7 linked regions of the Xenopus tropicalis genome follow. The protein of the gene in region 7 interacts with the protein of the main gene of each other region in a biochemical or structural test. Links are inferred from orthologs where the notes say so. Each region holds a gene or a part of one and is shown on either strand. Other genes may lie near its edges.

Region 1 (4,225 bases), on a different chromosome or scaffold from region 7:
AGAGAAACAGCATGTCCTATTACTGCTTGATTTGCTGCTGACAGGCAGTCATTAAGATTGCACAAAGGGGCTGCATTCTTATTATGGAAAGGCAAGTTAATCAGAGCAGCACCTATAGGGACCCAAGAGTGCAGGGGGGCACAGTGTAGCCCTGCCATTTCTAACAATTTTTTTATTTGAATATTTGAATGTAAAATTGGTGAGTTTCCTTTAAGGTTTGGGGTGGGGGTCATGCAATTATTTTGCTATGGGACCTATAACACTGCAACCCCAAGTAAGTTGCCAAAAAAACCTTATGTACCAATTACGATTAGGTATTGTAAACAAATCCTTCAGGTCTAATATAAGCACATTAGAATACTGGTTTAATTCAGCTGGCTTACTGTGCCAGAGGAGAGCTAACAACACCCACTAGAAACACTGTCAGGCTCAGGGAGATTTATGCATTCTACATTAAAATGCTAGATTCCTCTTTATGCAGCCTGTTGCTACATGTGAATTCTGACCTAGCAAAGTTCACAAGTCTCTAGGCAATGGCAGTACATGCATTAATAATTAAAAATGTTTGTTTCCCCTGAGAGTGGAGTGATTCTTTCTTGTGGACTGTGGTACATACAGATTATCCACAAATGTACACTTTATTTCTGGAGTTAAGGTGGCCATACACCAGCAGATCCGCTCGCTTGGCGATGTCGCCAAGCGAGCGGATCTTCCCCCGATATCCCCACCTACGGGTGGGCGATATCGGGGAGCATTTAGGTTAAAAAAAAAATAATCCAATCGTTTGGCCCTGGGGCCAAACGATCGGATTATGTGGGCGGCAATGGGGCAGTCGGATCGGGGACCGCATAAACGAGCCGATGCGGTCCCCAATCCGACCGGATTTTCTAACCTGGCCGATCGAGATCTGGCCAATTTCAGGCCAGATCTCGGTCGGCCAGGCCGCTCTGCTCTCCCCATACACGGGCCAATTAGCTGCCGAATCGGTCCAAGGGACCGATATCGGCAGCTATAGTCGGCCCGTGTATGGGGACCTTTAGCAACAACTGGAGGGCCAGAGGTTGGCAATTCTTAAAATTATAACTATAAATCAGGAGTTACACAGTGTATGTCATTTGTATTTTTCACTTATAATGTTTTCTGTTCAAGGGGTCTATTCTTAGGTTACCCTCTCTGCCCTGCTCTAAATACAGCAGTGGATGAGGTTTAGGGAGTGACAGATAATTGCTGTTATATCCTAATGCAGCTCTCGCTCTGTAAGAGGCTGTTTTTATAAAGGCTGTTTAGGAACTATAATATATTATATAATTATGATGTCATACAAAAAGGGGCTATAATATATAATATAATTATTATGTCATACAAAGAGACTGATGGAACCTTGTAGCAGATTAGGGGCTATAATAAAGTCACATTTAGGACCACATACAGCTTATGGGTCTCAAGGACGACAGTGCTAAGGCATTTTAGACATTAAGAATAGGGTATGCAAAGAAACAAGAATGTGTGCTGTACAAAGAAAGGTCAGAAATGAGCAATACATGTTTCCCAAGGTATTGCTGAACTGCAGCTGAACTGCAACTCCCATAATGCTTAGAGTCACTCTAAAGATGGTATGAGCTGTGACCCAGCAACAGCTGGCTGCTACAATTTCAACATTCAGAACCACTGTGTTTTAAAACAAGGAATCATTGAGCATAAATAAAAGAAGTACTACATCCCACGCACTAAATACAATTTTACTAGAAGCTAAAAATAATCACTTCTAATCAAAGGAACACACAGGGAAAAAACACAAGACATTGTCGTAGGATTACAGTAGCAACAGGTCACCCAGACACCATCACAGTGTGGGGAAAATCATTTCTACTGAAAAAAACTGGGAGAAAATCATTTCTACTGAAAAAAACTGGGAGAAAATAAATGGGATACAATGCATTAGAGTATCTGCCTATTTATTATCCTGTGCCATTTTCTGTATGAAAAGTTCTGAATAGAGAAAGCCTTTGGTCTTGTTAGCATTCACATGAAGGCTTGATGCCTGCAGCGACCATCTCTGGGGCTGGAGTTGTGGCACACAATGAGGGGTTAACCTTTGCCATAATGCCTCATTAAAAAGTCAGACTGCAATCCCTCATTCCCCAAAACACTGCTGGGAGGCATCCAGAGCTGTATCATTAATGAAGAGCAATAACCAGGGCTTGGAGCCTCTCAAATGAGACACTACTGTCTGCTCTGGATTAGTGTGTCCTGTTGGAAGAGAATATAAAGCAGTCTGGCAGTCTCCACCAGCAGTTAAACGCCCTCCCTGCACAGTAAATTTACCATGCAAAATAAGGTCTTGTCTGGGAGAAAGACACATTTTTCCTTAAATTTCACAAAGCCTTAAGTCTAGAGTAAGTCTAGGGAATGTACATGCTCATTAACATGAATATCCTGTGTAATGGAGCCTGCTCACAGCATTATACCCAACTATATACATTGTGGCAGTACATGCAGAATTTACATGTACACGTTGCAGCAGGCAGACAGCAAAGAAAAAGGCTAAATCAGCTACATACAGTTTAGCTATGAACTCACCTTGTACTTCATTCTTGCTGGATCTCCTCTGGGTCCACTTGATAGTTACAGAATCCACATTGGAGAGTTTAAAGCCCAGCGCTAACTCCAGACCAAGGTGTTAGAGTGCGTGGCAGCTATAAGTGGATTTCAAGCAGAAGCAGCAGCAGCAAGCAGACTTCACTGTGGGACCATACAGACCTATCTGAGAGCTGTTTGGGTTTGCTGAGCACAAGCTGGGACAGCTATTTGCATATGGCCTCCCATTAGCCAGGAAGGCTGAAATGAGAACGTGTCACATACTGCTGTTCCCGCCCCTTTAGTGTACTCTGAGCCCAGCAGGCTGAGAGTGTATTGTGTGTGTGCTCATGTCTATATCAGGATTGAGCTTGATTTGCAAGAAATGCCATGTAAAAAAAGAAACTGACTCACATTGCTGCATTGCTTTGACCTGGCAGCAGTCGGAACTTGACATTTTACTTTGAAGCCTAGGAATACAGTATCTCAATAGAAATACTTTGGTTGGGGGCAAAGGTTTGTGGCAAAGGGGTGTGTCTTCCTGCCCGTTCTGACTAGATATATTGTTTATGCTCACTTCGAAACCTCATATATATCCTAGGAACCAATCCTTTTGGAATTTAGATTGAAGGAACTATTGTTGCCCCACAGCAATATTTTGGGGAATGAGGGTGTGCAGTCGGATTTTTTAAAAAGGCTTTATGGCATTAACCCCTCATTGTGTGCCGCAGCTCCAGTGCCAGAGGCATCCAGTGCTACAGGCATCAAGCCATTCATGTAATAAAATAGAGACTAAAGGTGGTCATACACTTTCAGATCCGCTCGCTTGGCGATGTCGCCAAGCGTCCGGATCTTCTACCGATATCCCCCACCTACGGGAGGGCGATATCAGGAGAATCCAGGCTAATTGGGCCAAACGATCGAATTATAACGACGGGTATAGGCAAAGTCAGTTCGGGGACCGCATTAATGAGCTGATGCGGTCCCTGATCCGACTAAATTTTTTAACCTGCCAGATTTCAGGCCAGATATCAGTTGGGCAGGCCCGTCGTTAGTGCCCCTACACGGGCCGATAAGCTGCCAAATTGGTCTAAGGGGCCGATATCGGCAGCTAGAATTGGCCGTGTAGAATCGGCCACCTTAACCTAGAGGCATCTAACAGCAGCCCCTCTGGCATTTGCCAGAATCTACTGATTGCCAGTCTGGTTCTTATGCTTAGAACTTTTCATACAAACAATGACACAAGATAATAAATAGGCAGATGATGCCTTGTATCCCATTTATTTTCTCCCAGTTTTTTTCAGTGGAAATGATTTTCATTGCCCATGCTGTGATGGTGTCTAGGTGACCTGTTGCAACTGTTATCCTATGACACTATTTTGTGGTTTTCCCACCCTGTGTTTGATTATTTTTAAAGCTTGTAGTAAAATTGTATTTAGTGTGTGGGATGTGGTATTTCTTTTTTTATACTTAATGAACCGTGTTTTAAAACACAGTAGTTCTAAATGTTGAAATTGCAGCAGCCAGCTGTTGCTGGGTCACAGCTCATGCCATCTTTAGAGTGACTGTCAGCATTATGAGAGTTTTTTTAAAAGTTTGGCTCAGCAGTCAGAGCTGTAGTTCAAAAACAATGTGGGGGGGGGGTTAC
Region 2 (3,500 bases), about 17 Mb from region 7:
AAGTCTAGATACAGTATAAATCCAGCTTTAATAACAGACAGTTTGATTTGCATTAAAGGGATACTATCATCGGTTTAAAAAGTGCTGTGATGTCACGCTAATGTCAGACTGGATGACTTCCCAAAAGCACATCAGCTAATAAAAGCAACAACAACAACAGCTTGTTGGTTACTCTAAAGAAATGTTATTTTACATGTTCTAGACATGTAAAAGTATTTTCTATCATTACATGGCTATATCATAGGCATTGGCTGCAGAGTTACCAAAGATTTGGTATATCTAAAAAGAAAAAACTCCATAATTTACATTTGCTTCTTTTCTCTTACAACCATGCATTAAAGCTCTACAGCAGGGGTGGGCAAACTACAACCCATGGGCCACGTCCGGCCCGTTGGTCTTTTTTATCTTGCCCTCCAACTCCGCAAGTCTCATCACGCGAGACTTGGCGTCTGGGGACTGACGAGCGGAAATGGTGTAAAGCTGGCCCAGCCCGTCTGTCAAATTTTCAGTCAATGTGGCCCCTGAGCCAAAAATTATGCCCACCCCTGCTCTACAGCATAAGTGAATTTCAGCAAGCAGCCCTTGTGCAACATGGCACTGCTAATCTGTAGCTGAGAATCTGATTTTATGAAATCTGCCCCTAACCTGCAGTGAGATTTAATTGTTAACATGATTGTCGGGACTTCATTTTGAGTTACATAGAATAAAACCAACCATCAAGAAGCTTTCCATGGTATACTGCCATTCCAGCCACGCGGCCTATAAACTTGAAATACGAAAGGTGATCTTCATTACACAGACCAGAATTAGGATTAATTTGTAAAGTATAGTTGTCCCTGTTAAAACAATGAAATAAGTTAAAAAAAAAACATATGGCTAAACAATGAAAATCTTTTGAAAAAGCTGCCTAAGTTATCAACATAATGTAATAAATAAGTTACATTCATAAAAAAGTTTCAGTGGAAAACATTCCAGAAGAAACATCATTTAAATGATGACAAATAAGTGTCTCTTTACTTCCTACAGTGGTAAGTATGAAATCAACTCTTTGAAAAACTGTCTTTAACTATTCTTCTGGTAGCAGGGACACTGCCAGAAACTTCTCTTTTTTACTTTTTATTCTTCCTATATAGAGTGAAAAAACATTTTAAAGACATGTATATTCATCCCTCATTGCCTGAGTTTATAATCTAGTATTTGGAAAATGCTCTTCAGGTTCAGAATTTATTGCATTACTACACAATGCTGCTTATTTCAATACTTTGGAATACAATTCAAACTTTTAACCAAGTAAAATAAAAAAATCTTGCCAAGTCAGATTTTTCATTATAAAAAACAAATGTCCAAGTTCCCAAATAATCTTTATAAAATAAAATAAGTAGTAAGCTATTTTAGTATAGGAATCTCAAAGCAATTACTGGTATAATGTTACAGGAAGCAGCAGCAGGAATTTAAAACAAACCCACTAGAGCCCATTTATAGGACTAACTAATATGCATTTCACTCCACTCCTCACTAGCACCTTTCTTGTTTTTTTTTTTTTTTTAATAATATAAAAATAAATTGACTGTTTTTATTCTGAGTGAAATTTGTATATTATAGTGAGAGCGGCATTAGTCTTGTGAACTTGTGTGACAATAGATAATCACAAAACTGAAATACTATAAGTAAAATATAACCTATTTACAAATATGGTTTACTTTCAGTTTTTGTTCCTACAATGTTTTTTTTTTTTAAATAAAATATATGGTTATGTGCCATGCATGCAGAACAAACCCCCCCCCTGTATAGAAAAGCCCTGCTCATCTGTCCTCCATCAGTCCCTCCACCTCTCCACCCTGTAGTCTATTTTATAGAAAATTGCCCCTGTTTGAATAACTGAAATAAAAATACAGTGCAGCATGGCAGAGGTTGCAGGCACATCTTCACTCCCTTCTGATCCTTTTGCATACTTCTACAAGCTCAGTTCCGGCAAAGAGACGCGAAAAGGATCAAAAGGGAGTGAAGATGGTGCCTGCAATTTCCACTGTGTTGCACTGCATTTTTATTTAAGTTGTTCAAACAGGGGCACTTTTTTATTACATAGACTGCGTGGGCTGGGAGAGGTGAGGGGGCCAATGGAGGGCAGATGGGCAGAGCTTTTCTAAAGAATCACCCTAAACAAGCTAGATGAAAATAAAGATAATTCTATGCTATCCCATAGGGTTAAGCATATCATAAATAATTATCATACAGGGCCTGCCATATTTACAAATTAAGAACCAGAAATATATATATATCCAGTGTTTCAGAACCTCTGGAATTCACAACCACTGTGTTCCTAGCAACTGTCAGAATGCATACATTGTTTTATACATAACTGCAAACTGTCACTGAATATACTTACGTGGCAGAATATTCAAACAGACCATAATAAGGATTGAACATTTCTTTAGAAATCAAGAAGAACCATTCTCTGGCCACTCCTCCATAGTCCAAGCCTTTCTCATTATCAAACTCTATCCAAAGACGTGCCTTGAGAAACTCTGGCCTTTTTACAGCTATAATCCTTCTATAGGAATCTTCAAGAATGGCTGTACGACGTAACTTCATTTCAAACCTATTTGGAATATCAATCTGATGGGAAAAATAAATCATCATATTTTATTTTTCCAAATTTCCCAGAAATAGTGGAAGGTTGGGAGGATATGTTGCCGTAGTAATAATTGTTTGCCTTATAAAAGAGAACTTTTAGTTATTTGTATATATAACTGCTATTAAGGAGTATCTGCCTGTCCTTTCTATACTCTGCCCTAGTGGCTCTGGCGTTTGAAACAATGTAACACAAGGCAGCAGATTTTACAGACCTGACTTGCTGGAGGAGCCTGGCACTTGCAACACTGTTTAAAAAGTAACAACATGGAGTTCAGCAAATGCTGCTTTCTATAGCAATTACATTTACAAATAACTTTTAAAGCACTAATATTTTTTAATACATTTAAATTGGAATTATCTTTTCTTTTTAAACTTCTAATGGCCATGGCACAAAAAGCCAAAATTATACTTGAATCTGGAACTGGAGCTAATTCAGAAAAATACAATAGGTATAAAAAGATGATGCAGCTCAAGTAAAAATGTTTTATGGGATAAGCCTTCATTTCTGGACTGTGGTTAGCAAACTTCTACTGTTTACATATCTACAGCCTGGTTGCACTTTAACATAATTAAACAGATGTAGTACATAATGATTACTAAAATCAGAGAAAGCGAATACAGTATAATGCTATGATCTTTGTAAAGAAAAAACTATGGAGCACAGTGTAGTCATGTACTGTGTAAGGATGTACTTCTAATAAAGCTAGCAAGAATCTCAGCATTGAGCATAACAGGAATACAATTTTGTGACAGGTAAGCATTAGGAAATACACTCCTCCATGCATGCAGAAACAGTTACTGACAATTTTCAAATTGTTTCAACACAATTCTACATTACCAAATATACTTTTATGTACACATTCACG
Region 3 (3,500 bases), on a different chromosome or scaffold from region 7:
GAACCTCAATCTCTGTGCCCCCCTACAGAACCCCAATCTCTGTGCCCCCCTACAGAACCCCAATCTCTGTGCCCCCCTACAGAACCCCAATCTCTGTGCTCCCCTACAGAACCCCAATCTCTGTGCCCCCCTACAGAACCCCAATCTCTGTGCCCCCTACAGAACCCCAATCTCTGTGCCCCCCTACAGAACCCCAATCTCTGTGCTCCCCTACAGAACCCCAATCTCTGTGCTCCCCTACAGAACCCCAATCTCTGTGCCCCCCTACAGAACCCCAATCTCTGTGCCCCCCTACAGAACCCCAATCTCTGTGCTCCCCTACAGAACCCCAATCTCTGTGCCCCCCTACAGAACCCCAATCTCTGTGCTTTCCTGTCGTTTCCCTAATGAGCTGCTCCTCTCTGCCCCATTTTAGCTACATTGGCAAATCTGACTCCATTACCATCAGTGTCTGGAACCACAAGAAGATCCACAAAAAGCAGGGTGCTGGCTTCCTGGGCTGCGTACGGCTTCTCTCCAATGCAATTAATCGGCTGAAGGACACTGGCTGTGAGTATGGGCATGCACCCCCTCCCCGGCGCCAGGCTTCTGTCCAGTAGAACCCCGATTTTACCTTTCCCTTGGTATCGCAGCAAAACTGCGTAACATCCAGGGACCACAAGAAACTACATCAGTTCCACAAAAATGTTAAATCAGCCTGCCTAAAATCGGGGTTCTGCTGTATATCCATTTATATGTACCTGAATCCGGGACTGCCCTGGTCATGTGGTCTGCTTAATGAGGATTCCTTCACTAATGCAACATGGCACCTCCTACCCATATGTATAACTACAAATATGCAGAGAAGGAATGTTCTGGGCACACAATAAGCTGTACCCCCATACTGTACTGTCTAAGGGAATCACTATGGCACCCCCTACCCATATGTATAAATACAAATATACAGAGAAGGAATGTTCTGGGCACACAATAAGCTGTACCCCCATACTGTACTGTCTAAGGGAAACACTAGGGCACCCCCTACCCATATGTATAAATACAAATATACAGAGAGGGAATGTTCTGGGCACACAATAAGCTGTACCCCCATACTGTACTGTCTAAGGGAAACACTATGGCACCCCCTACCCATATGTATAAATACAAATATACAGAGAGGGAATGTTCTGGGCACACAATAAGCTGTACCCCCATACTGTACTGTCTAAGGGAAACACTACGGCACCCCCTACCCATATGTATAAATACAAATATACAGAGAAGGAATGTTCTGGGCACACAATAAGCTGTATCCCCATACTGTACTGTCTAAGGGAAACACTATGGCACCCCCTACCCATATGTATAAATACAAATATACAGAGAGGGAATGTTCTGGGCACTTAATAAGCTGTACCCCCATACTGTACTGTCTAAGGGAAACACTATGGCAGCTTCCACCTCTATCTATGAAGTATGTGTATGGCTATACCCTGATACTGTAACTTATGATAGTGGCTGTCGTTGCACAAAAGTCATTGTAACCAGATTGTATGTTTGTGTCCTTTCCAGACCAGAGACTCGACCTATGCAAGCTCGGTCCCAATGACAATGACACTGTGCGAGGGCAGATTGTGGGTGAGTTGATATTAATTAAGTTGTGATTTCATGGACCAGATTTCTAAGGAAATGGGGATGTGAGGTGGCATTTTATTTCATACCATTTATGACAGAAACCGCACAGAGGTTTTCCATGCAGTTACAGTTCTCTCGAGTTATGTAATGGATAATAATGTCGGATGTGCCAATATAAGGGGCAGTGATTGGCTCTGTAAATATCCTTAGTTCTGACTGACTGCCGGCAGGGTTCCTGACCTTGCCAATTAGTGTAGCTGAAGCCAAAGCTGTCCCTCTGTCAGTGCCACCAGCATGCAGCACCATTTATTGTGTGTTCAGCACAAGAATAATTCCCAGGAATCTGGTAAGAAGTGTCGGATAGAGTGTAGATATGCCGGGCAGGGCAGTGAGTATAATGGGGGCCAGTAGGTAGAGGATGCAAGTGTCCCTAAACGTTCCACATCCCATAATGACTTTGTTACTGTGTGAGAGAGTCTCAGGCACAGACAGTCACACACAGTTGGGCATCTCATTACAGAAAGTTAATGTGCAATTGTCTGTTGTGCCTTTGCAGTCAGCCTGCAGTCCAGAGACAGGATAGGCAGCGGCGGGCAAGTGGTCGACTGCAGCCGGCTTTTCGACAATGACCTACCGGATGGGTGAGTTTCTCGTGGGATAGAGGCACGGGCATAGAGGAGTATGGGTACTGACCGTGATGTGCTCATGAGTGGTCTCTGCTAGCCTTTTGCAGCTTTGATTGGCCCAGACACGAGTCTGGAGAAGAATTGGGATGAAAGCTTTGGCTGCCAAGGGGGATTTTTGGACACCACAATTGCTGACCCGTTTATTTCTTTGCAGTCGTGGCTTGTTGTGGCCATGGCTGTTGTCTGCTAAGTACATTCACTTATGTCCCTTCTGCCTTTAGCTGGGAAGAGCGGAGGACTGCCTCTGGCCGCATCCAGTACCTGAATCACATCACAAGGACGACACAGTGGGAGCGCCCCACGCGGTAATGGAACCTTGTTTATACAATATCCGCTTTCTGTTACACTGTTGAACCACATTGGCTCTAATAAGCCAGTCTTGTTAGTCCAGCAGCCTCCTGTGTGTCGTCTTAGAATAATATGACGTCTCCCCCAAGCGTTTGGGTGTGTCTCCTTATTATAGAAGCCTTTCTTAGCCGGATGCTAAAGGCTTCTGACATTTTTATATGGCAATTACTAGATTATACGAGCTGTTTGGTGGCTTTTGTGTTACTCTGGAGTTATCCTTGAGTTTTACACGCCCCAGTGCTGCTTCTGTGTAATTTGCAGTCTCCCATTACCCTATGCTGCTGCTTCAAGAACAGGGAACTGTTACTTGGTGCCTAGAGATGTGCTGAGACCGGTGTCTCCTATCCGTAGGCCTGCGTCGGAGTACTCCAGCCCCGGCCGGCCGCTCAGCTGCTTTGTGGATGAGAATACGCCAATAACCGGGACCAATGGTGCTACCTGTGGGCAAACCTCAGACCCCCGCATCGCAGAGAGACGAGTTCGGTCCCAGCGGCACAGGAATTACATGAGCAGAACGCACTTACACACTCCTCCAGACTTGCCAGAGGGATATGGTGAGCTGCAGAGTTTATCTAGAAATCTATTCATTACCGGTAAAGCAGTTATTGGCCATGCTGCCCATTTGGGCTTCTATCGCCCCTCACTAGCAGAAATCCCACTGGTTTGACCAAGAGTGTGTAGGGCCAGGCACTACACAACGGTATTCCCGGTGTCTCATTGTGCACCGCTGTGTAATACTATTTGTCTTGTGTCTGGGAGAATGAGTGATTTCATGGCCTTTTACTTTTGTCTACAGAACAGAGAACTACACAGCAGGGCCAGGTGTATTTCCTGCATACACAGACGGGGGTC
Region 4 (4,229 bases), on a different chromosome or scaffold from region 7:
TGGCAACGTACCCAAATATAGTACGACTTCTATCCAAGCACCTAGGCTACAGCAATTCACTGGCAAAGAAGCGTACATTCTATATGTAACATATAAACTAATGACACATTTCCAAGAGTAACAAGAAAACCCAAAGGGTACAAAGATCAAGGTAAGAGGAAGGCGGCTCACAGAACGGCTCGTCCGCACTTGAAGCCGAAGTTGACATGTCAACACCTTTAAAGCTACATAGGCAGGCACTAGGATGGGGGGAAGGGGATGTAAACTGTCTGCACCTGTTTAGTACATACATACAAAATTGTCAGATCTGCAAATGTACGACTTATCTCCATAGCCTGCTGTAACCAAGAGATGCAGCTATAAAGAGCACCAAGTATCATCCGCGGGATCAGCACTGAACTTGAAGCAGGGTTACCATCAGGTCACTTTAAATGCCACTTACAGGGTGATGTGCTCTTCCCTGTCGCCTAATTACCTTTCCAAGCATGGCCATAGATCTCTTGCTCTCAGTTAAAGGAACAGACGCCAGCGTAGCTTGGGAGTACCCACTGTGCGATTCCTGTTCTACTCTGTATGTAAGTTTTGTCTTCATCTCCCTATCAGCTGGAAATGGGGGCGACATTCAGTAATGTTGATCAACCATGCGCTGGCAATTGCCAATGCCAAGAACGCTCACTATATATGCTTACCCAGGCAGTATCTAACGGCTTTACTTTTATGGGATAAAGGATTAACAACCAAGTCAATTCCTGCAATATTGCAGAATACTTTCCATACAAAATACAGTTGCTTGGGAGGGTACAAAGTTTTGAGGCACACGTAAGGCAATGGCACAGCTGGGCACATGCCCAGAAATTAGCGGGCCAGCCGCAGAAATACACAGCACCAACAGGCCACAATTTAAGACATACCATTATTCAAGCCAAAGAAAAACACACCCGCAATTCCCATCACCTTGTTGGTACCGTAAGGTTTTTAACTCTACAGCTCCTGGGGTAAAGCAACTAAACTTTTCAAGTAATCTTTTATTGAAAAGAAAATTTCTCTCTGGGAATAACTGCTGTTGGAAAAGTGGCTAGTAGCACACCGCTACTAAAGTCTATGGTTTAGCCCTCAGATAAGACAAAGAAACAGACCAAAGCAAGCTGGCCAGGTAATGAAGGCTACCTGTAGCCACCCCACTTACTCACCCTGGCTGCTTTCCTCTTGTACTTGTTGCTGTAGTCGAACTTCTCCTTCATCTCCTCCAGCAGCCGGCTCAGCCTAGCCTGCTCCTCCTCTCCCCCGGCCCCGGGGTTATCCCGGGCCAGCAAGATGTAGGCCCTCCAGTTGGCCGAGTCGAAGCCCCAGTGGCAAGTCCGGTTCTCCAGCGCCTTATGCGAGTGCACCACGAACTTGTGCGGGGGATACATGAGGCGGCAGTCCAGGCACTGGATGCAGGGGGCGCTGGGGTGGCCGTACAGCTCGGGCACGAACAGGCCCCGGCACTTGCCGAAGCACTCATGGTACACCCTGAAACTGCTCTCGGTCAGCTCCAGCTCTAAGGGTCCCGGCGGGAAGTCGCTCTTCTTGGCGCAGCGGGGCGGGTAGCTGCCCCCATACAGCAGGGCGTTGCACAGCCGCTCCGCGTCCGTCTTGGTGATGAGGCCACAGGAGGGCGCCGAGAAGGGCAGGATGCCCATCACCTTGAGGATCTCCAGCTGGTCGGCCGTACAGCGGGAGCAATACACGTGTAGCTCGTCGCACACGGCGTTGATCTGTTGCAGGCTGAAGTCCCGCAGCACCGAATTGAGGATCTGGGGCAGACACAGGCGCTTCTCGCCTCCGACCACAAAGCAAGAGATTGTCTCCCCCTCCAGAATAGTCTCGCACCTCTCCGTGGAGCGGTCTGAGGGCATGAAGAGGGGCCCCCCGGGGATGACTGGGGGCGGCTGGCTGGGTAAATGTAGAACGGGCTCCGGGGGCTCCTTGCCGCTCTCCTTCTTGTACATGTCCTGAGCCCAGCGGGCTGAGAAGGCGGCCGGGCCGCCCAGAGAGCTCATGGAGCTCAGGTGGAACTGTTCCAGGGTCTTCTGGAGCCCGGGATGGGGCTGGAAGCTGCTCCGGCTCACGGTCTCCATGCCTGAAAGCTCCCCGACACTACTCGGAGCAGCCACTCACACTCACTGGGGCAAGTTCCGCGCAGGTCAATCGATCGCTGCCTTTGGGCTTTACTCTCAATCCACAGTGGCGCTCAGTGGGCTCTCTGAGCCTCCATATAGCCGTGCTGTGCCCACTCTCTCCTGGGCTATCCCTTGCCACTCACAGCGCTTCATCCAGCTGGGAGCTGCTCAGTGCCGAGATGGGCTCCTCCTGCCCATAGCGTCCCAGCCAGCTCACTAACTCCGAGTCCCTGTCACTTTCCGCTGAGGAGGCACAAACGCGGCTGAACTTTCCCTCAGTACCCAGGGGGGAGGGGGCTGCGGCTGCGTTTGTGGGAAGTTGCGGGCGGGACAGCAGCGGCTCCGGCTCACGAGTTCCCCTTCATGTTGCTCTGCTGGAGGTTAGGGGAGAGCTCGGCTCTGCCTCCCATACACACAGGCTGCTGCCTTCCCGGTGCTGTTCACTGCCTGAATGCCTCCTGCCTCATGCACCCTGTCTGCGCTCTGCGCTCCCCCTCCCTCATTCCCTCCCCTCTTCCTCTCCCTTCTCCACCCCCTTTCTCTCTGTTTGTTGGTGTCTGCCTCAGTCATTGAATCCCAGCCAAGAATGTGACCAACTCCCCAGGCTGTGGCTCTTCCAGGAACAACCTCCACCCCCTCCCTCCTCCTTCTGCTGCCGCTGCTGCTGCCTTTTTTTTTTTTTTTTTTTTTTTTTCTACTGCAAAGCGGAAAAAAAAAACTTGTCTGTCGAAGGCAAAATAAATCTCGTGTTTCTCATGCGTAAAACCATTGGCTACAAAAGAGGAAGGGTGTTTTTTTTTCTTTTTTCAATAAACAGAGAATGCAAGGGGATAATGCTATACAAAAGGTGAAAAGGTAATTCTCAACTATTCCCCCACATAAGGCTATTATTTTTCCTGCCATATATTTATATACTGTCCTTTTATCTGTCTCTTTTTTCACATACAAATATATAAAGTTTCAATTTGTAGATTGTAAGCTCTTTTGGGCAGGGCTCTCTTCACCTCTTGTATCGGTTATTGATTGCTTTATATGTTACTCTGTATGCCCAATGTATGAAACCCACTTATTGTACAGCGCTGCGGAATATGTTGGCGCTTTATAAATAAATGTTAATAATAATAATAATTTGGGGTACATTTTAAATCTTTAAAGTCTTTAAACTTGCACAGGCACAGAATATCACACTCACTATTAATATGCAGGGCCACACAATGCCAAGCCAACTGCTAGAAAATGCATGGCAATGGTACATGCCTGGGCACATAGGAAAAAAAAGGATGAATAAAAACGCCTGTATGCAAACTTGTCCAGTGCTTGTCATGCCCCATGACTGCATGACATTTAGGGAACTGGCACATGGGGCATTTTTTTGCCTGCGGATAAAAAAAAACACATCCAAAAATACCTTTCTGTAGACTACCTTTCTGTGTATACATGGGCAGATTCTGCCCCTTCAGACTGAGATGGCAGCTTTTCTGTCCACGTATAAGACCCTCCAAAGGGCCTGCCCTACCAATATCTGGGCGAAAATTGGACGGATAGTTTTTTGGCTTGTTGATGTGGTCCTCACCCGAAGGCCTGCATTACAGTTCATTATTGCCCACCTCAAGGTGGGCAATAATAAACAAGCAGATCTTTGCATGAATGGCCACCGATTAGAAGAAGGCGAATGTCATGCCTATATTTAAAAAGGGAGTAAGATCTCAGCCTGGCAATTATAGGCCTGTAAGTTTGACATCCGTAGTGGGCAAGTTATTTGAAGGCTTGTTAAGGGATCACATTCAAAATTATGTAGTGGAGAATGCCATTATGAGCAGTAATCAGCATGGCTTTATGAAGGACAGGTCATGTCAGACCAATTTAATTGCTTTTTATGATGAGGTAAGTAAGAAGCTGGACAGTGGGGATGCAGTAGATATAATCTATTTGGATTTTGCCAAAGCATTTGACACCGTTCCACACAAATGACTGCTTTCTAAGCTAAGGTCTATTGGTCTTAGTGAAGTCATTTGCACATGGATAGAAAACTGGCTACAGGATCGGGTACAGAGGGTGGTTGTTAAT
Region 5 (3,500 bases), on a different chromosome or scaffold from region 7:
ATGCTAGTATCTTTCTCACTCTCTGAGGGCATTGAAAACTGGTATTTAGTATCCAGTGACATAAGATAAGTATAATATATACATAATCTGTATATGTGTGCGCATCTTAAAACACAAATACCAGACCTACATAATCTCTGCTGCAAAGTGGTTATATAGAAAGAATCAAACATGGTGCGGAGCTTCTTTGCCAAACAAAAACAGCAGCAGACATTTATTGGTACAGATTTTGAAGTAAGCCCTGGCTCTCCAATTATTGCTAACCTATCAGTGACTGCATCCTCCAAACCAGTGTGTGACCGACAATGCTGGGAGTTGTAGTCCAGCACCACCTGGATAGCCACAGCATGGCTATTGATAATATATACACACAAACATTACAAAGGTAGTATGACACACAGAATTTCTCTGGTCTGTGTAATAAGCCACAACTTTGTGCATGTGGATTTTGTGTGTCGTGTGTCTGTAGCTCTGTCACTGAGGTGTACATGGCTGGTGCTATGTGCAAGGTAATTCTTTCTTCCTCTGTCTTGGCTGCTGTTCCCTGCTCCAGCTCACACAAAGAGACTCTGTCTGTCGCTCTGGCGCAGGGGCTGCGGTTTCCTCCTGCAGTTAGGAGCGGCTCCTTGGCAGTGAATCTGTAGTACTGTGCCTGATTCTAAGAGTGGACAAGCTAAGCCGAATCCTTGTACCAGCAGGGCAACAGAAACCATGCTTTTTTCCCCTGTGTTTTCTCCCTGGGTTGTCGCTCCCCACTCTTTTTTTAATATCCCTGTGTTAGTGTGGAACTGTAACCATAAATGCCACTGTTTGCATATGTATATGCCATACGGTTTTTCTCTTACATTGTAAATGTTTCATGTTTGCATGCTTCCCTCTAAATCCTTGCTGTGATTGTGTTAATGTTGTAGCCCTCATCGTGTGTGTCTTGTTGAAAGATGCATTGGTTGGTTATGTGTTGCCTATTTAGTGACCCGCTGTCGCCTGATCTGATGCAGGCTTTTTGTTAGTCTGGATAAATAAATGTCCTATCGGGACAGTGTGCAGTGATTCTGTAGACAAGGCACCCACAGTGTCTGTGACAGAGTATGGAGTGGCTCAGATGTTGGTGCCAGTTCTGTACTGGAGCTGGATGTGCTACAGACTTTGGTCTGACGACACTTCCAGTTAAAACCTCAGTTTCAGACACTCCACAGATTACATGCATGGTCACATTTGGCAGATACCTTAGTACTTGTTTGTTTTATTTTTTTCATTGGCTTTAATGCTAAGAACAGTTAATGTTAAAAGAAGATAACTTTTTCCTTGGTCATATCTGCTGTCACCCCATGTCCTTTAAACATATTCCCCAATGGGAGACTCATCATTTTCAACATGAACTGAATGTAGGGATTTTAACATTTACACTGAAACAATTATTCACCAATGAGCTGCCACGTGACTTTGGGTATTTAAAGTTCCACATGCTTGGAAATGTTTGTATTTTTTAAATCAGAACCAAAATACATCCTTCCATTACAATACAGATTTGTGGATGTATTAATACTCTGTTCTAAGCCTGGTGTGTGCTGCCCTTTCCTGCCCCTGCCACACACTCACTGTATACAGTGCAGTGGTCAGTCCTGTGCTTTGTGTTTTAGGTGGGAGCAGAGAGAACTGAGCAATGGACGGGTTTACTACGTAGACCATAACACCAAGAGCACTACGTGGGAGAGACCCTTACCCCTCGGGTAAGACCCCCACCATACCAGTTAATGTAAACCCCACCAAGCTGTGTCATTGCCTCTGTGGTATATCTATAGGAGTAATCTTGTTAAGACACCAGAGCTAGAAATTTGTCTGTAGTGCTCCAGTCTAGCTTTTTTGTCTTTTATGCAGCTGGGAGAAACGTGTGGATAACAGAGGTCGTTTCTATTATGTTGACCACAATACTCGAACAACCACATGGCAGAGGCCCACAGCAGAATATGTCAGGAACTATGAGCAATGGCAGTCACAGAGGAATCAGATGCAGGGTGCCATGCAACAGCTGAGCCAGCGTTTTCTGTATCAGGTGAGAGTGCAGACGCCCCCAAAGGTTAGGAATTAGCAACGGCAGGCCACACAAAATACACGTGGTTTTCCATCCCTTGCATGATGGTATTGTTACCTGTGTGTTCTTGTGTGGTAGTGTAATTGCTTCTTGTCTACTAATACAGCTCTGAATTTTTAGAGCATATTCAAAAGTTTGAAAACATAATAAACACTACTGTAATGGCATGAAATGGGTCTCTAAAGAGAATTCTAACCTTTCTTTGGTAGAGAAGCTGTTTAATGCTTTGCATTAGCAAAGAGAGTTGTGAATTTGTCCTGAGATGCCCATTATGTCAACAATGTAGTTTTGGGAAGAGGGAAGGACAACACTTGTATTGTTGGGCACAATGGTGAAATCACAGGATTTGGACTGGTAGGACATTAGAACATATAAAGTCATTCCTCCTAACTATTTTAGCACGTGGCATCTGTCCACTTCTCCTTCGCCAGACAGCTAGAGTTTTTATTAAATTAGCTGTTTTACTATCTTTAAGAGAACATTTTTAGGGTTTGATACAAACTCTCCACAGTGGAGCCTGGTCCTCATTCCCTAGAGGCCTCTGAGCTGGTCAGAGAGGGGGTGTTATATAAACATTAGCACGCCACACGCCCCTTTTGCACCTCCCAGCAATTTCACACCCCCCCTTTACACACCTCCTCCTTCCCACTAAGCATCTCCTCACTGCAGGAGAAGAAAGGTACATTGTGAGCCAGGATCTAAGGGAAGGGGGGTGCAGCTCTGCCTATAAGTTGCTGAATGTTCTTCAGTTTGGGTTATTCTTGCACACCGCTCTGCCAAGGGACGGGCTTGATTGGGAGGGGAGGAGGTGAGAGGGGGTCTGTGTAGAGGTGGGGGGGTCAGGATCTAAGCCCAGAGCTGGGAAGAGCTGGGCGTTTACTGGTGGCTTGTGGGAATGATTTCATTTGAAAGGCCTGCAATATTTTCCCCTCTGGTTTAGGAGCAAGTCGGACGTGTGAGTGCTGAGTCCAGCTAGGGACATCTGATGAGCACATGGCATCTCCTGCTCAGCTCACTATCACTCCAGCAGTCATATGTCTTGAACCATTCTATCACTAGGGGGGAAATTTGCAGTTAGCTATTTGCTTTCCCACACCCTCACACTATCCATTGCTGTTTCTCTGTTTGCAGCCCTCATCTGCTGCTCCTGACAATGACCCGCTTGGACCGCTACCCAACGGATGGGGTAAGTGAAAGTGCATTCTTGAATGGAGCTGTATGTGTGACCCTTTTCAGCTGCATAAATTATTGTACAGCTGACAAAATGATTGTCCTATATGTCTATAATTATTATAGGAATATAGGAAATTGTCTCTCAGTATGATGTGAAAATATGCTGATTTAAAAAATTACTTCTTTTTATATACATTATATAGTTATATTGGTCCTAATAAGGTTTCTAGCTATG
Region 6 (4,082 bases), on a different chromosome or scaffold from region 7:
TCACACCTCTTGTGTTTCCCAGTAGCACCTTAAGAAACAAGGACTCTAAAATGCTACAGTTTAATAAATTAGTTGGTATATTCTCATCAGTAGCTACTTTAGTTACTACTACTATATCAATTTGTTACACTTTTCTTTTTTCAATAAACTTAGGAAAAGCAACTATTTATCAATTTGTAAAATTGAAGAGGGCTGGCAACCAGTTGGTATTTGTGGTGCACAATTTGGAAATGATTATTTAGCCAATAAGGCTGGAGAATACTGTAAACCATTCCTAACCCCTCAAACATATAATAACAGCAGCAAACTCTTGCCAAAAGCCCAGAACTTTATAATAGCATATATAAATAACCCCAAGTGCTATGATATAAAGAAAATATTGGTCAGTATGTTCTTTTCTGCTTTTACTTTTATATTGCCCAATACCCATATCAAATAATTGTCAAAATATAATACCCTTGAATAGACTCATGCAATATATCAAGTACTATACACAGGAGATAGTTTAACATGCACGTTTATTGCAGTGTAAAAAAAAATATCAATATAAATAAAAAAATCTAATTTCCACATCTTTTATTTAATATCTTAAATATAATTGAACGTCTGGAATTGTCCTTAGAAACAAAAACATAGAAAATTATTATACTTTATTACAAATGGTAAACTCAAGAGTGCTCAATATCTCTTATTTACAGAAAGTAGTGGGTTTATTAACCCAAACATAAAAATAACTTACAAATGCTTGAAGCAATTTTACTGAAATAATTCAGTTTTTCTTAATATTATAATAAAAAAAACAAATATGTACACATACACAGTTATGTAGAAGGCAGGCAGATTTGTCATTAATTTTACTTTTCAATGTCCCGTATGCCTCCCTCCCACACCCTCCCTTTGTAAGAAAACTACGGAAGCAATCTAGTGTCTCTAGCAGTTTAACCTTTTCTTAATACTGAATGATCATCGAATGTTAGGTCCATGCAGGTCTTGGTCAATGTTAAACATGTATCTGATGTTTCATTAGAGCAGGAACAGCACTTGACAAGTGATACTGCTTGTTGCATTGCCACAGGCTCCACCTAAAGGCTTGTCAGGACTCCCCGCACACGCACGTAGAACAGTCAGGTCTCAGTGCCTTTCATTTTGAGCCAGGGAGTTTCAACATGAAACTATTTCCCTCCACAAAATAATTCTCACATCTCTTTCCCAAAGAAGCCTTTTCAGAATGTTTGCATCTGCTGTGTTAACATTAGCTGACACCCACTGTTGACATGATTCATGACTTTTTGTTTGAGCTGGGCTACTTGCTCTCTAAGCATGTTGGCAGTGGATGCCAGTTCAGAGTTCTGGGATTTTAAGTTTTTAACTTTGTCTTCCAACCTGGAAATCCTCTCCAGTTTCCTTTTTCTGCATTTAGATGCTGCGATTCTATTCCTCATACGCTTCCTTTCAGCCTTTATCCTTTCCTGGGACTCCATGTCAATAGGGGACAGTGGAGGAGTCTCCCCAGGCATTTCAGGTACAGTCTGTGGTTCCTCTTTCAGAGCCTGTAACCTGGGGTGCTGCACGGGTATTGGTGGGTTACTCTGATGTTGGCCGGTATACCCCATGGTGTTGCTGTTAAAAGGCGATGATGTGGTGATGGTACTTGGGTTAAAGTTACTTAGATTGGCATACACAGGGGGCTCGTTGTGAAGACTATTGTTGAAGCCAGTGTTTCCAGCAATAGTAGATACAGGTGTCAGTCCCGTGCTGGCAGGTTGGGTGGCAGTGGTTACACTTGGCAAGTTGTTTTGATGGTGGAGTTCTGCCAGTGCCCTAACAAACCCCTCTGCAAAGCCTTCTTGCTCGTCTGTGACATTCTTGGGGCACAGGAACTGGGTGGGGGTCGGGGTGGTGGTAATCATGCCATTGCTGGACTGGATGATAAGCCTCTCCAACTCCGGGGAGGCGAGCTTGAGAAGCCCAACATCAGGGGAGGTGAGCAGTTCAGCTGCCTTGTTTCTCAGGTGAGGTTTGATGGCGCTGCTGGGGTCCGACAGGTTCAGGGTCATGCTTTGCTTCAGCACCTTGTTGTAACCATAGGGAGTAGCATCGTGCTGGGCGAAAGCAGCACTCAGGGCATCTTCGTAGAAAGTAGGTTCCATCCTTGCAGTCATAGAACGGATGCCGGACAGGGACGATGACTGGACCTTACGTTAGTGTGACACCAGCACCAGCCTAGAGAGAAGAGCGAACAGGTTGTTAGCTGACACACCGAACCCCATGGCACCTCCACCCCTCTTCTAAATGGAACTTATGCTTCGCCTGCCGAACTACAACTGGCAGTGTCCCGTAGTGAGAGTTCAAGCACAACTGCTCCCAGCCTGGCACATAACAGAAATAAATGCGACTTACTTTGTGTCTCTAGCAGCAAAGAGGTCCTCGTACTCCGAACGCCACAAAAGTTCTTATAAACTCCCGGGAAAGTTTCCAAAGCGCCGCCGGAGATATGTAATGGCGAGCGCTGGGTGTGTGCGTGTGCCCAGTATAGGTGTCAGGCACACGGACACAAGGAAGAAGTCACTGAGAAGTTAGACGTTCCTTCTCCCCAAGCGCCACAAGTGCTGTCAGTGTGAGCTCTACTCACTTGTACTGGGCTGTGGGACAGCGTGCAGCTAACACTTATCTGCGAGCGGTCACCCACTAAAAATAGACATGATGTCACCCCAACGTCCTGCTATTGGTTGAGCCTTGGGAAGGGAGGCGGGCCAGCGAGGCCAAATGAGCCTCGGTCGCTATGACGACCGCCCTAGAAGATTCTAACTCTCGCGAAGGCTCATGGGATGAGGTAATGCTCCTTTGCCGCTGGGCATTGTGGGCTGACGTATTGTTGTTGGCGGTGCCCGTTCCTTGCTTTGGTAGTTGGGATGGTAGTTTGACGTGGGTTTCCCGCCATAAGGGCTGTTCCGCTCACCCCCTGGTACTGGACAGGGGCTTGAGGCAATTGTATGGTAGTCGTAAGCCGCGGAGGAGACTCATCCCTTTCCTAGCAAAGCGCGATATGGTTGTAATGGTTGTCTGTCACATAAGGAACCGGAGGACTTGGGCTGTGTTTGTCGGCTGGTGAAACTGAAAACTCAGAGTTGAAACAGATTATTTCCACAGGTTTAAGCGATCAGTATGGCAGGTTTTTCAATATGTTGTTTGTTAGTTGCCGAACTAAAATGTGGTAGTGGTTGCTGGGAGTTGTAGTTTTGAAACAACTGGTTATTTTCGGTAGAATGTTATTAGTGTGGTATAGTTTTACTGGCTTTATAGTTATTGTTCTCTTCGCTGTTTTACTTTGTGTAGGACACGGGGGAGACCAAGTTGCAGCCCTCCGGCCATTGCGGGTCCGTGTGTGGGGGTGGGGCTGTATGTGACTAGGAGTTCAACAAGAGCTTGAGGATCGCAACATTGCATAGATACACCAGTGTCAGTGACAGAGAACATGTAAGGCTGTATAGCATCATTGTTATTAAAAGGGTCCCAGTGTTGTGTAGGCATGTGCTACATTCTAATGATCATGCCTTTCTGCACTGGGGTGGATAGCCAGGGAGAAAAGGTGAGGGAAAGTTTTTTTTTTTTTTTTTTTTTTTTTTTTTTTTTTTTTAATTTGGTGGGGGAGGGAGTTTATTGGTGGGTGGGTGTGTAGATTATGATGTGGGCGTTGATGAAAGTAAAAAAAGGATGATTGGAAGCAGGGTGAAGGAGGTAGGGGGAGCGCTGGGGAGGCTTAAAAAGTTTACAGGAGATCAGGTTGCATCCATGAGAACGGAGACTGGCTTTTATGGGTAGAGAGCAGGCAGGCTATTTGGTTTATCACCAAAGTGAATAGAAAATCCTTAGAAATTGATAGAGATCTTGAGTATTAAACCCACTCTTAACAGCTGCTGAGCTACAGCTTCCATGATACCCAGCCATTCCTCCACAGAGGATAGTTCCCTAACTGAGTTGGACATCTTTCATGAAGAGCTGCTGAAAGTGTTAAATAGCAACATTTCTTTTTTGTATATCCACATGGTACAGGAAAACATTAAGAGAAACCATAATGTAAG
Region 7 (3,162 bases):
CCAAGTCTGATCTCTTTTATACTAGACATACATAATCAAGTGCACATTGCAGACTGTACTGGCTTCTAAGCACCAAGGCCACATACATGTGAGCAGATTGCTGATCAGTAATACAGTATGTGGATTTTATATGTGCTCAGTATCAACACACAAGGGGGCGGATTTATCAAAATGTGAGTTTAGAGCTCAATACATAAAAACTCACCTGTGTTCTATTCATTCCTATGGGATTTTTAAAAGGGTATTTATCAATAGGTGAAATTTAGAACTCACAATTTGATAAATACACTTCCAAAACCCCATAGGAATGAATAGAACGTGGGTGAGTTTTTATGTATTGAGCTCTAAACTCACATTTTGATAAATCTGCCCAAGGTGTCAGTACTATTAGAGGCATATCAAACCTTCAGCTATTCAGCATCCTGGTGTTTAAACCTGCAATAACGTGCAGCCTGGGTATTTAGAATGGTTGAGAAAGGTTCAAAACAGCTGCAGGGCCTGTCAGTCTCCAGCACTGGCTTTAGGCTGAGATCCTGTTGGAAATATGGAATGTAAACGTACATTAATTTCCCCATCTTTCAAAAAGTGCAAGAAGTATTCAGTTACACCTTTCTAAACATACTTGAATGATACAACATAGCTGAACAAGCAAAGTGTAAATGTGGGTAACAGCATTTCAAAGACTGTGTAATATTAAAACAATTTGTTTATTTTTGTGCAGGCTGTAACCTGAAGATATTTAATAACCAGGAGTTTGCTGCTCTTTTGGCTCAGTCAGTAAATCAAGGCTTTGAGGCTGTGTATCAGCTCACTAGGATGTGCACCATACGCATGAGTTTTGTCAAGGGCTGGGGAGCCGAATACAGGTTGGTGTTAAAGAAGCCACATTTTGCCTCTATCTTGGTCTTTTTGCTATCCTTATTTGTTAACAGTAGGTTTGTGCTGTTTGTAGCATTGCTGTAAGTCATAACCTCCAGAGGGTGAGCATAGTGTGGATGTTAGATGTAGTTTATACATGGTATAGCATTGTATAAAGTACTTGGTCCTTTTGACAAAGACCAGACTGTTCACAGTGCTATTAATGTAAGCTCCTGCCCAGGGTGCATTTAAAGGGGTAAAGATAGAGCTATAAACAGTTTTTCCCCAGTTCCAGCATCCTTTCCCCAAAGATAAATACCCAGTGCCATATTTGTTTTTAAAATTTTCGTGTGGATCTGCATTGATTGAGTATTGGCCTTGCATTTCTCATTAAGTTAGTTAATTCACACCACTAGTGGTAGTCCACAGCATGCAGGAAAACATAAAAAGGTGTGATAGTTGAAGAGTAGTTACCAGCAAACCTGGTAATGTTTCTGACTGGAGTACTGTTCATCTTGATATTTTGTACATTAGCATTATGTAGCATGTTTTGAACTGCAGTCTTTACAGAAGAATTGTCTTAAATTGTTAATAAAAAGCCATGGCATGGTTTCAGCACTTCTGATCAAGCTTCCTGCAAGAATCAGCAAACAGCAAATGTATAGGGAACTCCTAGGAAAGGTGAACATAGAAAAGCCCATGCTGCTTAACCCAAGGAAAGAGAATCATAGAAAAGCTAATGCTGCTCAACCCAAGGAGAGAGGATCATAGAAAAGCTAGTGCTGCTCAACCCAAGGAGAGAGGAACATAGAAAAGCTAGTGCTGCTCAACCCAAGGAGAGAGGAACATAGAAAAACCCATGCTGCTTAACCCAAGGAGAGAGGAACATAGAAAAGCCCATGCTGCTTAACCCAAGGAGAGGGGAACATAGAAAAGCCCATGCTGCTCAACCCAAGGAGAGAGGAACATAGAAAAGCTAGTGCTGCTCAACCCAAGGAGAGAGGAACATAGAAAAACCCATGCTGCTTAACCCAAGGAGAGAGGAACATATAAAAGCCCATGCTGCTCAACCCAAGGAAAGAGGAACATAGAAAAGCCCATGCTGCTTAACCCAAGGAGAGGGGAACATAGAAAAGCCCATGCTGCTCAACCCAAGTAGAGAGGATCATAGAAAAGCTAGTGCTGCTCAACCCAAGGAGAGAGGAACATAGAAAAGCTAGTGCTGCTCAACCCAAGGAGACAGGATCATAGAAAAGCTAGTGCTGCTCAACCCAAGGAGAGAGGAACATAGAAAAGCCCATGCTGCTCAGTCCAAGGAGAGAGTAACATAGAAAAGCCCATGCTGCTCAACCCAAGGAAAGAGGAACATAGAAAAGCCCATGCTGCTCAACCCAAGGAAAGAGGATCATAGAAAAGCCCGTGCTGCTCAACCCAAGGAAAGAGGAACATAGAAAAGCTAATGCTGCTCAACCCAACAAGAGAGGAACATAGAAAAGCCCATGCTGCTCAATCCAAGGAAAGGGGATCATAGAAAAGCCGCCCATGCTGCTCAACCCAAGGAAAGAGGATCATAGAAAAGCCGCCCATGCTGCTCAGCCCAAGGAGAGAGGAACATAGAAAAGCCCATGCTGCTCAACCCAAGCAAAGAGAAACATAGAAAAGCTAATGCTGCTCAGTCCAAGGAGAGAGGAACATAGAAAAGCCCATGCTGCTCACCCCATGGAAAGAGAAACATAGAAAAGCTAATGCTGCTCAACCCAAGGAAAGAGAAATATAGAAAAGCTAATGCTGCTCAACCCAAGGAAAGAGAAACATAGAAAAGCTAATGCTGCTCAGTCCAAGGAGAGAGGAATATAGAAAAGCCCATGCTGCTCAGCCCAAGGAAAGAGGATAATAGAAAAGCTAATGCTGCTCAGCCCAACAAGAGAGGAACATAGAAAAGCTAGTCCTGCTCAACCCAACAAGAGAAGAACATAGAAAAGCCCATGCTGCTCAACCCAAGGAAAGAGGAACATAGAAAAGCTAATGCTGCTCAATCCAACAAGAGAGGAACATAGAAAAGCCCATGCTGCTCAACCCAAGGAAAGAGTATCATAGAAAAGCCGCCCATGCTGCTCAACCCAAGGAAAGAGGATCATAGAAAAGCTGCCCATGCTGCTCAGCCCAAGGAGAGAGGAACATAGAAAAGCCCATGCTGCTCAACCCAAGGAAAGAGAAACATAGAAAAGCTAATGCTGCTCAGCCCAAGGAGAGAGGAACATAGAAAAGCCCATGCTGCTCAACCCAAGGAAAGAGAAACATAGA

Evidence for each region.
Region 1: the proteins of smad3 (region 7) and nedd9 form a complex in vitro, tested with the Homo sapiens proteins (2 studies listed by BioGRID). The link is inferred for Xenopus tropicalis from reciprocal best matches to the Homo sapiens genes SMAD3 and NEDD9.
Region 2: the proteins of smad3 (region 7) and nedd4 interact in a test that uses a peptide from one of them, tested with the Homo sapiens proteins (3 studies listed by BioGRID and IntAct, with this or other methods). The link is inferred for Xenopus tropicalis from reciprocal best matches to the Homo sapiens genes SMAD3 and NEDD4.
Region 3: the proteins of smad3 (region 7) and smurf2 form a complex in vitro, tested with the Homo sapiens proteins (2 studies listed by BioGRID and IntAct, with this or other methods). The link is inferred for Xenopus tropicalis from reciprocal best matches to the Homo sapiens genes SMAD3 and SMURF2.
Region 4: the proteins of smad3 (region 7) and ski form a complex in vitro, tested with the Homo sapiens proteins (8 studies listed by BioGRID and IntAct). The link is inferred for Xenopus tropicalis from reciprocal best matches to the Homo sapiens genes SMAD3 and SKI.
Region 5: of the proteins of smad3 (region 7) and wwp2, one has a biochemical effect on the other in vitro, tested with the Homo sapiens proteins (2 studies listed by BioGRID). The link is inferred for Xenopus tropicalis from reciprocal best matches to the Homo sapiens genes SMAD3 and WWP2.
Region 6: the proteins of smad3 (region 7) and jun form a complex in vitro, tested with the Homo sapiens proteins (3 studies listed by BioGRID). The link is inferred for Xenopus tropicalis from reciprocal best matches to the Homo sapiens genes SMAD3 and JUN.

What each region holds. Positions count from the first base shown.
Region 1 is NC_030682.2:90,788,457-90,792,681, forward strand, and holds the start of nedd9 (enhancer of filamentation 1), read right to left. Parts: upstream 2,801-4,225; 5' UTR 2,593-2,800; coding exon 2,581-2,592; intron 1-2,580. UniProt on the Homo sapiens protein: Scaffolding protein which plays a central coordinating role for tyrosine-kinase-based signaling related to cell adhesion. As a focal adhesion protein, plays a role in embryonic fibroblast migration.
Region 2 is NC_030679.2:100,487,319-100,490,818, reverse strand, and holds part of nedd4 (E3 ubiquitin-protein ligase NEDD4), read right to left. Parts: intron 2,617-3,500; coding exon 2,387-2,616; intron 837-2,386; coding exon 715-836; intron 1-714. UniProt on the Homo sapiens protein: E3 ubiquitin-protein ligase which accepts ubiquitin from an E2 ubiquitin-conjugating enzyme in the form of a thioester and then directly transfers the ubiquitin to targeted substrates. Specifically ubiquitinates 'Lys-63' in target proteins.
Region 3 is NC_030686.2:51,451,021-51,454,520, forward strand, and holds part of smurf2 (E3 ubiquitin-protein ligase SMURF2), read left to right. Parts: intron 1-415; coding exon 416-549; intron 550-1,551; coding exon 1,552-1,617; intron 1,618-2,170; coding exon 2,171-2,255; intron 2,256-2,521; coding exon 2,522-2,605; intron 2,606-2,999; coding exon 3,000-3,202; intron 3,203-3,444; coding exon 3,445-3,500. UniProt on the Homo sapiens protein: E3 ubiquitin-protein ligase which accepts ubiquitin from an E2 ubiquitin-conjugating enzyme in the form of a thioester and then directly transfers the ubiquitin to targeted substrates.
Region 4 is NC_030683.2:91,255,255-91,259,483, forward strand, and holds the start of ski (ski oncogene), read right to left. Parts: upstream 2,801-4,229; 5' UTR 2,121-2,800; coding exon 1,191-2,120; intron 1-1,190. UniProt on the Homo sapiens protein: May play a role in terminal differentiation of skeletal muscle cells but not in the determination of cells to the myogenic lineage. Functions as a repressor of TGF-beta signaling.
Region 5 is NC_030680.2:60,884,277-60,887,776, reverse strand, and holds part of wwp2 (NEDD4-like E3 ubiquitin-protein ligase WWP2), read left to right. Parts: intron 1-1,640; coding exon 1,641-1,730; intron 1,731-1,878; coding exon 1,879-2,053; intron 2,054-2,848; exon of another isoform or gene 2,849-2,900; intron 2,901-3,223; coding exon 3,224-3,278; intron 3,279-3,500. UniProt on the Homo sapiens protein: E3 ubiquitin-protein ligase which accepts ubiquitin from an E2 ubiquitin-conjugating enzyme in the form of a thioester and then directly transfers the ubiquitin to targeted substrates.
Region 6 is NC_030680.2:86,738,427-86,742,508, reverse strand, and holds jun (transcription factor AP-1), read right to left. Parts: upstream 2,668-4,082; 5' UTR 2,163-2,667; coding exon 1,224-2,162; 3' UTR 501-1,223; downstream 1-500. UniProt on the Homo sapiens protein: Transcription factor that recognizes and binds to the AP-1 consensus motif 5'-TGA[GC]TCA-3'.
Region 7 is NC_030679.2:117,418,039-117,421,200, forward strand, and holds part of smad3 (mothers against decapentaplegic homolog 3), read left to right. Parts: intron 1-721; coding exon 722-866; intron 867-3,162. UniProt on the Homo sapiens protein: Receptor-regulated SMAD (R-SMAD) that is an intracellular signal transducer and transcriptional modulator activated by TGF-beta (transforming growth factor) and activin type 1 receptor kinases.